2 linked regions of the Mytilus edulis genome follow. Each later gene encodes a partner of the first gene's protein in a complex. Links are inferred from orthologs where the notes say so. Each region holds a gene or a part of one and is shown on either strand. Other genes may lie near its edges.

Region 1 (8,020 bases):
ACGGGGCAGGGTGGTCAGGGTGAGTATATGGTGGTGAGGAGACGGGGATGGGTGAGCGTGCGGTAATTTGCCCCAAAGTTGGGCATCAGGTGCAAAAAGCGATTTTTCGTCCTTTCTCTTGACCCCAAAGACCCAGGGATGCTGGTAAAGGTATCCAGCTGTAGCCTGCATGTAGAGTTGACCCTAGTGAACAAATTGACCCCAACAATTGTTAGGTGGGAGTGAATCTGATCTTGGTTCAGCAGTCTACAGCAGGCCATTTGGACCAAAAATACGGAATTTCACGATTTTTTCCAATTTTTGACTTCAAATGGACACAAAACAGGAAGTAGACGTTTCCGCTGTGCATTTTAATAATGATAACGATCAGTAGTTTTATGTTCATGGGTTAGCACTATTTTTGCAAGTTTTATGCCTCTGAACTTCCTGTGTAAGTAGATATAGGAAGATGTGGTGTGAGTGCCAATGAGACAACTCTCCATCCAAATAACAATTTATAAAAGTAAACCATTATAGGTCAATGTTTAGCCTTCAACATGAAGCCTTGACTCACACCGAACAACAAGCTATAAAGGGGCCCGAAAAAAGACACAGATGTGAAGTCCACCCCTCCAGAAAACCGAGTTTCAGCCGATTTCAATTTTCCAAGTCTGTATTTGTGCTCAAAATGCAATTTATTCATGAGAAACATGAATATGGATAGCCTCAGGTTGACAGAACATGCACAACTTTTAAATTAAGTATCATAAAGTGGACTTCTAAAAGTATGGAACACCATTGGAGCCAAACAATGATGGTCTGAGTACGCCTGTCATATGATGGTCACTGCATGGTAAGGGTTAAGATTTCAAATAATGTAAGAACAGGACTTTATAATTCCCAATATTTTACCCCATTATCTACTAGGGTGATACCTTTTCTGAAACCATAAACAATTATCTATCAAAAAGTCAATAAAAATCTTAAGTATTTCACCACATTTTTCCAATGATTTGAACAAAATTGAAATGTTGAATTTAAAAGCACCAAATATTTGTTGGAAAACATTACAATAATTTCATGAATTTCAGGACCTCAGGACGATACAGGTATGAGGGTATTAATGCCATTTACCGACAGACATTAAAATATTGTGGTTTGTTATTGGTCTCAAATAATTACCGTTAACATCATTTTTGGAAAAAAATTAACATTATGCGTCCAAATCAGTAGATGTTTTAGCTCACCCAGCCCAAAGAGCAAAGTGAGCTTTTCTCATCACTTGGCGTCCGTTGTCGTTAACTTCTACAAAAATCTTCTCCTCTGAAACTACTGGGCCAAATTAAACCAAACTTGGATACAATCATCATTGGGGTATCTAGTTTAATAAATGTGTCCTGTGACCCGGCTAACCAACCAAGATGACTGTTATGGCTAAAAATAGAACATAGTGGTAAAATGTAGATTTTGGCTTATAAATATCTCTGAAACCAAAGCATTTGGAGCAAATTAAATCTGACATGGGGTAAAATTGTTAATCAGGTCAAGATCTATCTGCCCTGAAATTTTCAGATGAATCGGAGAACTAGTTGCTTGATTGCTGCCCCTAAATTGGTAATTTTAAGGAAATTTTGACATTTTTGTTTATAATCTTGAATATTATTATAGATAGAGATAAACTGTAAATGTACAGCAAAGTAAGATCTACAAATAAGTCAACAGTCAGTTGACCCCTTAACATGCTTAAGGATTTATTGCCTTTTATAGTTAATTTTTAACAATTTTTGGTAAATTTTTGTAATCTTCTAAAAAAATCTTCTCCTCCAAAACTACTAGGACCAATTCGTCCAAACTTGTTCACAATTATCAGTAGGGTATCTAGTTTTAAAAATGTGTCTGATGACCCCATCCCCATACCTAGATGGCTGACATGGGTAAAAATAGTTCATAGGGTAAAATGTTTTTTGCTCATATCTCTGAAACCAAAGCATTTAGAGCAAATCTGCTGTGGATAAAATTGTTCATTAGGTTAAGATCTATCTGCCCTGAAATTTCAGACCAATCGGGAAGCTTGTTGTTGGATTGCTGCCCCTAAATTGGTAATTTTAAGAAAATTTTGCAGCTTTTGGTTATTATCTTGAATATTATTATAGATAGAGATAAACTGTAAACAGCAATAATGTACAGCAAAGTACCGGTAAGAGCTACAAATAAGTCAATATGACCAAAGTGGTCAATTGACATCTTAAGGAGTTATTGCCCTTTATCAGTCAGAGCTCAGACATAAACAAGTCGATTTTTGTTTTCAACTTACAGTTCTAAGTCAAAACAGTTATTTATCATAAAAATGTGTTTTCAATTTTAGACTTATCTAAGTCAGAAAATGACAGACTTGTTTAGGTCTATTTATGTTGATGAAAAAACTTAATTTCACTTGGTGGCCAAACTACACCACCTATGACAGCAAAAACCTGTCTGAGAGTTCACAAGGACTTGAGCTATCTATATTTAATTGTCTAATTGAACATCCTCACTAAACACAGATGTTTTACCTCATTAAGTGGGGTTCCAGGTGGTTGCATTGTAAGGTTAATTAACATTATCTCCGATTTTTTAGACTCTCATTTCATATTTTTCTTTAGAAGACAAAGCATTGTCTTTCAATGTTGTCATTATTTGATTTAGATGCATGACCTCCTTATAAATATGCGTGGGTCTTGAAGTTTACCAATTTTGATCACTTTTCGACTTGTAGAAAGCGTTATTTGCAACTTTTTGATTCTGGTCAATTATTTCTTGCTTAACAATATTTATATTTCTTATGTCTTGCATTAAAGGGAGACAAATACTAAAACTTACAAATTTAGACCTCTATGAGTCAAAAGCAGATTCAGACTTATTTATGTCTGAGCTCTGACTGTTTATAGTCAATTTTAACAATTTTCATAAATTTTGTAATTTTTGTAAATTTTTACAAAATATTTTCCACTGTCACATTCTGGGCCAATTTCATTATAGATAGAGATAATTGTAAGCTGCAAGATTGTTCAGTAAAGTAAGATCTTCAAACACATCACCAACACCAAAACACAATTTTGTCATGAATCCATCTGTGTCCTTCGTTTAATATGCACATAAACCAAGGTGAGCGACACAGGCTCTTTAGAGCCTCTAGTTTATTGTCTAAAAGAAAGTATCCATTTTAAACGTCACGGTCCTACTGAAAAGTGCCCGGGAAAAGAAAAAACGCCCGGGGAAAAGAAAAAGCGCCCGGAGAAGGAAAATTAGCACCCTGAGAAGAAAATTAGCGCCGTGGAGAAGAAAATAATAATATTTTATAACAATATTTTTTTCTTTAAAAAATAACTAATCATTGCTTGTTTTGTCCTTAATATAAATGGTGAAATGTATGATGCTATATCTAAAGTATTGTTGTACTTTTACATTTTAGATTTCAAAATTGTATATAAGTATGTAAATAAATATAAATAATGAGGGGGAGGACAGGGGGTACCATTCTCCCTTCTCCCACCCCCTCTTCTCCTTTCTCCTACCCCCTTCTCCTTTTTCCTACCCCCGTTCTCCTTTCTTCCATTAGAATAAAACATCTCCCTTTGAGATATTTTTTCTTGAAATATTAGATCGTTTTTTAAAAGGAGAGATATTTTATTTTTTCTCCTTTCTCCCAGCCTTCCTCTCCTTTCTCCCAGTCTCCCTTACCCCTGTCCTCCCCCTCAATAATAGTAAATAGAAGAATCATGAAAGACATTGTCCTCGATCAAAATGTATGTTTTGTTACTAAAAATAATCGGTGCCTGAGGTCTAATATTTTCGCAACTGCATGGTGAACACTTTTTTATACAGATGCTGAGATAGATTTATTATATCTTTTTATAAAACTAAAACTGTTTCAATGGCTATGGTTATCAGGGTTTTAATGCTAAGACTTAAATTTAAACATAAGTAAATTAACATCTGCTTTTTATCACCTTGTTTTAACTAGGTACATGTATAGTACTGCTTTTTTGCTGATTTATTATGTGTACCTTTTTTATTTTGCTTAAGTTAATATTTATCTGTGAAATTTGAGTTGTCTTATACATTTTCATTTTGATATCGTTTTTCAAAAACATGTCTTTTGATGTCTTAATTACATGTTATAAATCTTCCGCATAAACTGTGATATCCTGCCATTATTATCAGTCTTTCGAAAAAGAATTCATATATTATTGTTAAAATTGAAATATTCATACTTGTTTTTGTGTTTTATTACAAATGTCTATTATCTGAATTTGCAAATTACTTGTCTAAAATAAAAAAATAAAAAATGTCCGTAACTTAACAAAGTTGTCTCATGCCAATAAAATATCTATATATTTTTCCCGGGCGCTTTTTCTGTTCCCTGGGCGCTATGTTTTCTTCTCCAGGCGCTTTTTATTTTCTCCTGGCGCTTTTTTTTCTTTTTATTTTCTCCGGGCGCTTTTTATTTTCTCCGGGTGCTTTTTATTTTCTCCAGGCGCATTTTAGTAGGACCCAAACGTCATGCACCAAAAATTACTGTTAATGTCATTTGGCAAGAATTTTTACGGTTTTTGTCATGAAGGTACTCTAATTACTACCCTCAGGTATGGCATTGGGATGTACAGGATATGGACAGTTGAGTGTGTAGAATCTCTGGCTTTCATTTTTGATGCCTAGGATGTAGCAGAGAGACTAGCATAGACGATAAGATATTGAGAATAAAACTGATGGTCCTCATGATCAGAAGAAGAAGATCATGCTATGTAAAATATTCAAAATAAATCATACCATAAACACTTTGTAATGAAAAGTTAACCATTTTCTTTTGCTGTGAACTTATTCATGTCAACAGTTATTGAATAAATAACAATTTAAAGTACTCAGATCTACGACGACATCTACCATTTTGACAATCATGTGATTTAGTCATTCGCCTTATTCTACTTCCGGTTTATTTCAAGATGTCAGCCTCCAGTAAGAAAACACGAGAAATTTTGCAGTAGATCACATAGCTTGGATTTAGACAGTTCTTTGATGAAATTATGTTCAATATTTGCACAACTGTTTGCAGAAAACAACCAAAAGTCCATAAATTAATCAAGCAAGTAGATGTTACAAATCTGACGAAACATGTGCTTGGATTTAAGTCATTGCAAGGACAAGAGCTCTATAGTCGACATTCAAAATCTAAAAAGAATAAAAAGAGCCAAAACACACCTGTAAAAACTTTAGAATCGCTTGTTGAACCAGTTCCATACACATCAACACATACACAGCCACATGGAATTGGTGAAGAACTTGGTGGAACCCTGGCCAAAGGTAAAGACATGTTTGAAAAAAAAAGTCAAATTTAACAAAAAATAATTCCAAATCCCATGGAAAATTTTAATCGGGAAGTCCCTTAGCAAATTGCATAAACAAAAGCTCAAACATTTGTCACAGAATGAATTAAGACCTTCCTATAAGGCAGTGTCTGCGTGACCCTGCATGTTCAGTGTTCTCCCCAGGCTCTTAAAGGACCACGGGCCTGCAATGTATAATTTTTTACCGTGGTTCTATTGGTTCTGCCGCGATGTAGAATTCTTATCCGTGGTGCTAAAATATTCAGGTGAAATTTGACCAGTTCAAACCCAGATTGTTTACACCACGTGATCAATTTACTGTACTTCTTCTTTCGTTAATCAGCAACGGAAAATATACCATCACTCATGAGGTTTACCTTGTTGATTGGATTTAAACGATGTTACTAACACTTGTAACATGATTGTTTTGTGTCTTAATTAAGATTTAACAATTTTATGATCACAAATAACTACACACCATAGTCTGTTATTTTTTAACTGTTAATATTGGAATTAGTTAAAAAGGCAAGTTCAAATCATGAATAAGTGTTCAGTGAAAATTGTTTTCTTTAATCTAATTTGCTCATAATTCTTTTATGTAATTAACTTTATTCAAATAAATTTGGATCTTCCCTCATCTGATCACCAGCATGGCTCAAGGTATTACTCCTAAAATTATTGTGAGGGGTGTGAGGTGACACGTCCAGGTATTCAAGCAATTTCCTGTCGCGCTTGCAAGTGCATGCATCGTTTCACTTCTGATGGTATTGATCAGTGTACACGGCCCATAACTTATAACTTTCCATTTTGAACTACATGTATCAGGTGTATAATATACATCTCTGTCTTGCGTGTCCAAAACTGATATAATATACTAGTCATTACTTAACTCATACGCTTGTTTATAAATAACATTTCTGGTGTAAAGAATATTATTTATAAAAATATAAATAATACATGTACCAAAAAAAAAAGATTTGATGAAATAACTATATATTTACATATTTTTTCCAAGGGTAAATTTGGGAAAATGTAATACAGTGTTCTCCTCAGGCTGTTTTAGCGTCGCGGTATCGGGACGCTATATTTTCTTTCCGTGACGCTATAATAATTTCATATTAAATATATATTAAATAGGTGTTAATTGCCCTTTGGGTGATAACTGTTTGGATACGAATACCCCAAGCTGTCACTTGTGACATGATTGATACCATGTGGTCTGCTATCGGAAATTTCGCCAAGGAGAATGTAATCAGAAAATCATAAACAAAAAATTCAAAATGTTTGCAATATGAAAGTTCAGGAAACAAACAATTTTTCTCTTTTTAAAAAGAGGTTGAGTCGTATCTTTTTATGACTTTCAAATTAATATGAGGCAGGCATTACCTGTGAATGGGGACGAAGTTTGTATTAATTTGTTTTCTATTCAAACATGGAAATACTGTAATGTTTCCGATATTGGTTCTGTTGTTAGGGATTCAGTTGTGACGTTATTTAAGTTATGAAGTCATATTCAATGTAAACAAAGAAACGCTGTTATCAGGTAACGTTTTTTTCATATCAAACAATTATTAAAAATGATTGGGTGTTGAACTCCTTCCTATATTTTTTGATATGTTGAAAAATTATACATTTTATTTAAAGTCTCATGCAAACAAGACCGGAAGAGGAAGTAGATCTGAAAAAAAAGTTAACGATTTTGAGTTCATTTAGTAGAATGAAAAATTCGGGAAAATTTTCCTGATTTTTTTTTTTATTGATTTTTCTACCGTAATTGGGGACTTTGTCCCCATATTATTACTTTCTTTCTCTTCCCATGTAAATTGAGAGTGAAAATTTTAATATTGAGCTAAATAAGTTTTGTACTTTCTTTAGAAATTGATCATAATTAGCTCTAGGTTATGTTTCATCCATTTAATGCATTAAAAATTACATTGAAAAAAATACAATTTATTTTTTTTACGCCAAATGTGAAGCTATCCAAAATTTCTGGGGAGAACACTGTAATATATACTTGTTGTCAATAGTGAAGGATGGATTGGAACATACCAGAAACATTGAATTTAACAAAATTGTACGCACTTGTCGACCATTCGTTTACATACGCCTGGATAGAAAGTTACGGAACTATAGATAATCACAATTTAAAATATATACATGTATACATTGAACATAAGAAAGAAACATACATTTTGTTTAATTTCGGGTAAAAGTTTTGTAAATAGACTAGTCCACATATGCCAACAGTATGTAATCATTGAATTGATAGACTATTGTATACCAAAAGAAGAAGAAGAGAACCATTTTGATTTAAATACAGGTAGATATATTACTTGCTTTGGTTCATCGAAGTTATGGACATAGTAAAATGACAGATTTATATATCAATTAGATGGAAGAAATTAGTCATCATCACAATTGTTCTGACATGCATGTAATATATATATGCAACTGAACGTACACTAATAATCCCCAAGGGATGTGAATATTTTCCAGGAAAACTATTGAGTATCAAAGTTTCAAATCAATTTCAGGATTTATTTTCTTTCTGATATTCAATGACAGCAATTAAAGAATAAACTGCTTGTCAGCCTTTCGGGTATTCTTGCAGTTAAAACAGACTTATAATTACGTTCAAAAATAGGGAAAGATGACATTAAATTCGTTCTGTCTTTTTT
Region 2 (8,234 bases), on another chromosome or scaffold:
TTCCTTCTTTATTTTTTTTTTATTTCTTTATCTTTTCAATGGAAAATGTAAAATATTTCCAATTAAGATTTATTTATAAAAATGACATTGTATTTATCTTACATGTGTTATATTGTATGTATATCATGTATATGTTGTAATTGTTGGAAATAAAAAAATCAAAAGTTAAAAAAAAAAGATATCTCTTAGTATAAGGTATCAACTTATAAATGTGATACCAATTCATCCCAAAAAATCACTGATAATTATTGTGCTTGATCATGTGTCATAAGTTTTATCGAATAAGTTGGGGTTGCGACAGGTATGTTTGTGAAATCCTCACAAAAATGTTGGGTTCACCAGGTTGATATGGAAATACTTCCTTCACACTGCTGATGCAACTTATCCTGAAACATTAATATACATTTATAACTATAGTCAAGAACAATCAATGTGGTACATCATTTCTATTGATCCTGTGACCACAAAGAACATTTTATGTTTTAGGTAACTTACTTTTTGTCTTGGGCATACCTGATACAGGTAATCAGGAATGCATTTTATGCATAAAGAAACAAAGCTTATTCTATTATATATGTATTATCATTACTGGGTGCTGATGGAATCCTATTTGTTATCTTTCAAATTCAATATGTTCAATGGGGGAAATTAATAACATCATCTTAACTTGTTTTGATCAGCAGTTCAAATTTTAAATGTCTGATTGGGGTACATGTATATCATTAATATTGGTCAGGTATACATATCCTCAAGATTAACATAATTCTTTCAGATTTTGAAACTACAATGTTAGAGTGGGGCACTCATATTCGCCGGGGACACAATTTTGCCGTTTTATGATTTTGAGGTGTAAAAGCTTCAAAGGATGGCAGAAATGGAAGAAATATGGCGGTAATTTATATTTTTATAACAAATATGATTATTTTTTTAAACTGAGGCAAAATTGCAGCACTTACCACAAAAGACTGAAAAACGGACAACGATTTCGGCCAATTTCCTGTCAGAATGAAAAACACGATTTCAAAGAAGTATTTCTTAGTTATTTTTTTGCACTAATTGCCCTTAATTTCAGTTCTTAAAACCTTTGAAAGGTCTGCTATTCATCTATAATGATATTGATTTGATAAATATTGTTAAAGCTGCAGTTATTTGGTTTCAAATAGATGTGTAAAAACGGCGAATATGTGTCCCCCTTGGACAAAACATCAAGAAATTTCAAACACCTTTTAATCTAACTTTTCAGGTAATTATTTTCAAACAAACACGTTTTCAAGCTTAGGAATATTTTGCATTTGAAGTTATCTTCATATAGAAATATCAGTTTACTTCAAAAACATATAGACCTCAACATAAACTGTAGAAAACATGGAAAGATATGGCGAAAATGAGTACCCCACTCTACACATCATGGATACAAAATTTTATAAAAGTGTTTCATTGTACCTTATCACTAGATGATATTGTAGCTAAGGTTTCCACTTGATACAATGCAATGCCAGATTCTTGTCTTGGTCCAAAATTAATGGTTTCCTCACCATTAAAATCTGTGGCTATCAAGTCCCACGGCATTATTAATGATCTGCAAGTACAAAAAAATTGTAAAAATAAAGTTTTTTCAGGTAATATTAAGCAGTTTTCAGGTTTTTAATCAGTTTGTGATTACTGGTGTGAATATGGGACAACTCAGCTTGAAGACAACTTAGAAACACAGACAATCTATAAAGACGGCTCAGGCCGTCTTTGTAAAAGTCACTGTAAACAAAGTGATTTACAACCTAGACAATTTATCAAAAGTGAATTTGGACTATTCAAATGATTATAAATAAAGTTATATTTTTACATTTTTCGTCAAACTTAATTGTATATTATACATGTAGTATTATTTCTGCTTTGTGAGATAATTAAGACTAATTTTGAAAGATACATAATTTTCACACAATAAAAGTACAATTTAAGTTGAGGAATTTGATTGTTGTGTCTTATATGCAAGGTCCTAGTATAACAATATGGAAGATGTAATTATTCAAAAGGTAGACATACCCGTAGCCAGAACCCCCCCCTGTCCGAACCCCCCCCCCCCCCTTGAAATCAAATAAGCACTGTTAAAGTCAACATTCAAATTGTGACTGTTAAAGTCGAGTTCATGAGTCCAACGAACCCCCTCCTTGGAAATTCCTGGCTACAGGCCTGGTAGATAGCTCTATACATGTACATTTATTGAGTAAAAATGACTTATACACATGCATGTCAAAGTTATAGTCTTTATTATCAATAAAAGCAGTATTACATCATATAAAATAGAGTTCTCTGGTAATATCTACCAATTCTTAGGTTCCTATGGATTTTTTGAAGTTTGCAGGAAATCAATGTATTCTTCAAAACAGGCATCAAAGATCTCCCAATAAACTTATTCTGAGTTGACTTTCCTATTTAACTTATTATTGGTAAAACCTCTCTTCAGAAACAGTCCTAGTTTTCTTTAACTTAGGAGACACTCAATAAATCAATTATATAGTCAAATCTCTCCTTTTATTATTTCCCAGAGTTGAGTTGTTGTTTGACTTATTGATAGTCAGATACATTTTACATGTAGACATTCAGAGTTGTCTTCTTTTTTTTTTAGGATAATCATAGTTTAGACAACAAGCACTGACAAGCCATACATTCTATGGACGTCATGGCAGTATGGCCATCGTGTCCTGCATCAATTTTGTACAATACGAGGCAACTCTCATTTTACATAAATGATAATGCCTTGTAATAGATTTTCCTCCCCTTATTACTCAATGCGGGTTTTAGTTAGCATGTGGTTTAAGTAGAGCATGTTCCAGCCACATTTTATCTTGTATTTGACTTTTCTTTCTTTATCATTTATCAAACACTTTTAGTTGTCCCTTCAATACACCTTATCGCTAATTCCGGCTGACCCGGCCGCTTGAACTTTTGACGTCAACAACAATCACTTTTCCATTGTGGCATCAGATATTTTGTTTTATGACGTCAAAATTTTACGGGGACCTGTGCGATATCCAGTAATGGCGGACAAATAGCAATAAGGTGTATGTATGAACGTGAATGTGAGCGAATCCAGGTGTGTTGATAAGTCGTTATCCTAAGGCAATTTTTTTCTTATTTTTTCTGTAGACTTAGCTTTCATTTTTTATTACCGTGCATTGTCAAGCTTGGTTACTCATAATTGTTTCTTAGTAACTCAGTGTACGATGCTGTCCCATACTGAACCTTCTGACCTTGTTTGTTAACAATCAAATTTCAATGGCGTCAAAATCCTGTGATGTCAATTCGTTCTACCCAATCAAATTGCTCTACTGTCAATTAGGGGATTTTTCAGCCTACGGCAATTACGTTATTTCTTTGTGGGATATTGCTTTAAAATAGTTTGCAATACTTTTGGGTTTTATTTAATAGGAAACCTCATTTTTTGCCATCCCTTTCGACATCAATGGAATTTTGTATGAATATTTACCTACAGTCATGATGGTCAGAATATCGATCTTTTTAAAATGAATAAAAAAAAAATTCTATGAAAAATAATGTAAATTGTTTTTTATTAACCTTCTCTATATTCCTGTACAAAATTATGGAGGGTTACTGCTCACAAGGAAGCTATTAAGCCAAGAGTTGCATATGGTGAAGTTGAAATCATCCCTTCGTAAATTTTACGGACGCCATCACGAGTTGGTTGACCGTTATGGAATAACCGTTTCACAAATGATATCGGATATGTTCCTTACGTCGTAACTACAATCCCCTTCCCTTTCATAAATGTGACCTACCGAATTAGTCTATTTACCGGATTTGTAATCACATAAGCAACACGACGGGTGCCACATGTGGAGCAGGATCTGCTTACCCTTCCGGAGCACCTGAGATCACCCCTAGTTTTTGGTGGGGTTCTTGTTGTTTATTCTTTAGTTTTCTATGTTGTGTCATGTGTACTATTGTTTTTCTGTTTGTCTTTTTCATTTTTAGCCATGGCGTTGTCAGTTTGTTTTAGAATTATGAGTTTGACTGTCCCTTTGGTATCTTTCGTCCCTCTTTTATGGCATGGACATCGTTTTTTCATATAGTTTTCCTTTCATTTTGGTTGGGCTTTTTTCGCGGGGAAAATCGCGAAAGACATAAGGAGCATGTCATTTTAAAATTCCTAAAAATACGATTTGCTTGACCTGTATTGCCTGCCACAAGACTGATGACGCTGAATGGAATGTACTTAAAGCAATGGAGGCCGGAAGTGGGATTTTGTGAAGTTCTAGAATGTTTTTAGACATTCGGAAGTCAGGATTGAAACAGGCATTAGAAAATTGGCATTTTTTAGCAATAATTGAGAACAACAATGAAAACTTATCTTTAAAAATGTTTTTTTTTTCAAAAGTGCAGAAAAAACGTATTCTGCACTGTTTTTCTACGCGTAGTTTCCCATGTTTGCTAAGTTCAGTGACGTCAATGCGTAGTTTCCCAGTGTGTTAAGTTCAAACACAAATACCTAACGAACTGACAAGATGACCGATTTTAGACTACCGTAGGAAACATGTTTTGGGGTAGTCCAAATTATGACGTCTGGCAAGGCTATTTTAATTTTAATGCACAGATATGAAACAGAAAGTAATTCATACAAATTGTTTAAAATTGAGTTACCTTCCAAATGTTTGAACAGGAAATTCAAATGATTTATCAAATTATTTTTTTTAATTCATTCACAAAACTGCAAAAGTTTGACATCTTCTTATCGGTGGGACTCGAAAAATGGTAGTTCCCTTAATATCTATAAAACGTTTTTTTTTGCATGATTTATTTGGTTGGATTACTGTAACTCATAATTTACGATTATATACCTCTGACACAACGTATTCTGTATTCTTCAACTTCAAAGATTGCGCCAATTAATCTGGTGCCTGTAAAATTTGATAAGTAGAAACAGTAACAATCTGAGCCGGGAATGAGTAGATTAATCCGGATTTCCTCTAGATTTATCCAATCAACTACGAATAAAAGATGGCTGCGCCCTTGAAACAAACATGGACTGTAAAGAATCATCTATTTTTAATGCAAAAACATTTAAAGCGCATAGGACAGTTGTGTCATGAGGTGCAGAAAAGTTCATGGGGAAATGAAGAATCAGTTCGTAATGTAAAATTTGATGTGGGAAATAGGTAAATTACTAATTAGATTGCAACGTCTTGCATAATGCTAAATAATTCACTCTCAAATAATGGACAACCCCCTAAAATAAATCAAAAATAATTAATACTTTCCATTTAATTTTATATAATATTTTAATATGAGGCAGGCATTACTTGTGAAAGGGGACAGAGTCTGTATGATTTTTTTTTTTTAATTCAAACATGTTAAGAAAAGAAACAGAAAGTGGGCCAACGAGCGGGTTTTGTGTGGCATTTTTAACGGTAACTTTTCCTAGATGCAGAGTGCCGAGAGTTTTGATGCAATACGTAGCGGTTATTTGACATAGATTGTTTTATCGCTTTCCGGCAATCATTCTGCTCATTGTTAATCTTTAAAAAGTATTACTTTACTTTTTAAATATTCTGTTTCTTTGATATTTAAGCATCTGCACGTTTATCTATATATGTTCTTATACATAACAGACACAGTTTTATCACTTTATTTTTATTCTTGGTATAGATATAGGAAGGCATTACTTGTGAAAGGGGACAGAGTCTGTATGATTTTTTTTTTTTAATTCAAACATGTTAAGAAAAGAAACAGAAAGTGGGCCAACGAGCGGGTTTTGTGTGGCATTTTTAACGGTAACTTTTCCTAGATGCAGAGTGCCGAGAGTTTTGATGCAATAGGTAGCGGTTATTTGACATAGATTGTTTTATCGCTTTCCGGCAATCATTCTGCTCATTGTTAATCTTTAAAAAGTATTACTTTACTTTTTAAATATTCTGTTTCTTTGATATTTAAGCATCTGCACGTTTATCTATATATGTTCTTATACATAACAGACACAGTTTTATCACTTTATTTTTATTCTTGGTATAGATATAGGAAGATGTGGTGTGAGTGCCAATGAGACAACTCTCCATCCAAATAACATATAAAAGTAAACCTTGGTTTATTTTTGCTATAAGTACTTATTCCAGGGATGGGGTAATCGTAATCTGTAATCGTAATCGATTGTAATTGATTACATTTTTTCAAGTTATCGACAGTAATCTGTAATCGAAGACATTTTCGATTACATGTAATCGTAATTTAATCGATTACAGCAAAAATTTGGATGTAATCATCGATTACTTTTCGATTACATTTCGATTACTTTAGTAAAATAGTATGATGAAAAATAACCTATTTCAGAGGAAAATATGTATGTTATCACTTTGTAGTACAGATAAAATATTATGCATCAACAATAATTGCGAGTTATTAAAGCAACTGCCTTATTTGCATCTATTGTCTCAAGCTGCATTATGAGCAACCAGATCCCCTACAGGGCTTCCAAAACGGTCATATATTCTGGTCATTTGTATAATGTCCGGTAAAAGTCCGGCTGGGCAAAGCATGAAACGGTCATATACTTTTTATTTTTCAAGGCTTTTTCGGTCATTTTTACATAATTCACGATCTTTTTGACCCAACCTTTTGCCTTTAACATCAACACGTTTCCGGTCATAAATGTGACATGATGATTAATTACTATCAAAACAACACCCACTTCAATACTTTCTAATTTTAATCAAGGCTAATTAGTAGTTGGACAGCTGAAATCTACCTGTTCAGGTGACAGGTGAACTATGATCAGTACCGGACATCGTATAAATTGATCGGTTTAATCACAAATATTTTCTTACATTTCAGCGGTTTGTATCTAATTGATTTCGTTCTAAAGATTAAAATTATTAGAAATTAGTTTATCAAAATGATTTGATGAAAAATTTTAAGGTTTTAGATAAAAAATCGTCAGAACTATGTCGTATGAACTAGAACACGTGTGCGCATGTGCACAGGTGGGAAATTTAATAATGCATCCTACATTTCTTCAAAAATGCTAAAATAATCAATGATACCTGTATCTAACGTTCAATTCAAGTATTTTGTTGAAAAAATAACATGGAAAGAGCTTCTTCTCTCAGTCGTGCTTTGTAAAAATACACGGATTTTACGTATCCGTTTATGGTCCATGTTTTACCATTGTCAAGTCAACATCCGGTTGAAAACGAAAGTAGTTTTTGACAATGTCATTTTGCACAAATAAAAAGTCTATGGCAGATATGAGCACGCTGATGTGCACACTTTGAATGATGCACTGCCAATTTAATAGTAACATCCTAACATCAAATTCATATCAAAGTAAAGTTTAAAATCGTTTTTTTTTTAATGTAATGTCAATCATTGGAATGGCCATCTGATTACCATAATTGCCTTTTGTGACTGAGTCTTAAGGGATTAAAATCGGGATCAGATATGAAATGTCCGGCTGGCTCAAATATTTTTTGGAAGCCCTGATCCCCTACCTAAATTTACTTTATATATCTAGCTTTTGAAACAAATGGATGTATGTGCTTGTCAATAATTCAAGAGCTTTAATATTAAAATAAGAAAATAGATTTGAAATAATAAAATAGATCTTAAATAGGAAATGTGTCTGTCTTTCTTTAAGTTCTGTACTACATTTTTAAAAGTAGTAAGCGTTATTTGTATTATTTTTCCTTAAAACATCATTTTCAATCCGTGTTGAAATTAAAAACTTAGATTAGATAAACAGTTGATTTCTTAAATGTTATGATATACATGTATATAAATTAAATTAAAAAAGAACAAAACATACTTTTAACAATGAACCAATGGCAATGCATTGCAATTCTTTTTTTGAAATAGATACATGTATCCCTTTGACACTATAAATATATTTTGTATATAATTTGATTGGAGAAGTTAACAAATCTTAACAACATTCTTGCCTTTACTAATTAGATGATCAAAGTCTTCTAATTAATAACAAACATATTTTGTTTTTATTTCAATTATCTTATGTCTAATTAAGAAGGAAATTTAGCCCCAGGTTATAAATTGTACTCCAGTAGCAGTTAAATAATCTGTAATTAGGGTGGTTATCCAAACTAAAGGTTTAAATCATGCATGTCATTATAAAAATAAATTTTGATCTTAAAAATTAGCTGAACTTAAATTAATTATTCTACTTTTTTTTTTATATTTCCTTAAACATTATAATTAACTGTGCTAAAATATAA

The links.
Region 2: ATP-dependent RNA helicase SUV3 homolog, mitochondrial-like (region 1) and polyribonucleotide nucleotidyltransferase 1, mitochondrial-like share a complex: the UniProt entries of both Homo sapiens proteins name them as parts of the mitochondrial degradosome (mtEXO) complex. The link is inferred for Mytilus edulis from reciprocal best matches to the Homo sapiens genes SUPV3L1 and PNPT1.

What each region holds. Positions count from the first base shown.
Region 1 is NC_092347.1:16,599,899-16,607,918, reverse strand, and holds the start of ATP-dependent RNA helicase SUV3 homolog, mitochondrial-like, read left to right. Parts: upstream 1-4,932; 5' UTR 4,933-5,042; coding exon 5,043-5,319; intron 5,320-8,020. Other genes in the region: proprotein convertase subtilisin/kexin type 5-like, read right to left, coding at 4,789-4,819. UniProt on the Homo sapiens protein: Major helicase player in mitochondrial RNA metabolism. Component of the mitochondrial degradosome (mtEXO) complex, that degrades 3' overhang double-stranded RNA with a 3'-to-5' directionality in an ATP-dependent manner.
Region 2 is NC_092346.1:59,045,736-59,053,969, forward strand, and holds the start of polyribonucleotide nucleotidyltransferase 1, mitochondrial-like, read left to right. Parts: upstream 1-4,977; 5' UTR 4,978-5,013; coding exon 5,014-5,171; intron 5,172-8,234. Other genes in the region: kinetochore-associated protein 1-like, read right to left, coding at 1,444-1,569. UniProt on the Homo sapiens protein: RNA-binding protein implicated in numerous RNA metabolic processes. Catalyzes the phosphorolysis of single-stranded polyribonucleotides processively in the 3'-to-5' direction. Mitochondrial intermembrane factor with RNA-processing exoribonulease activity.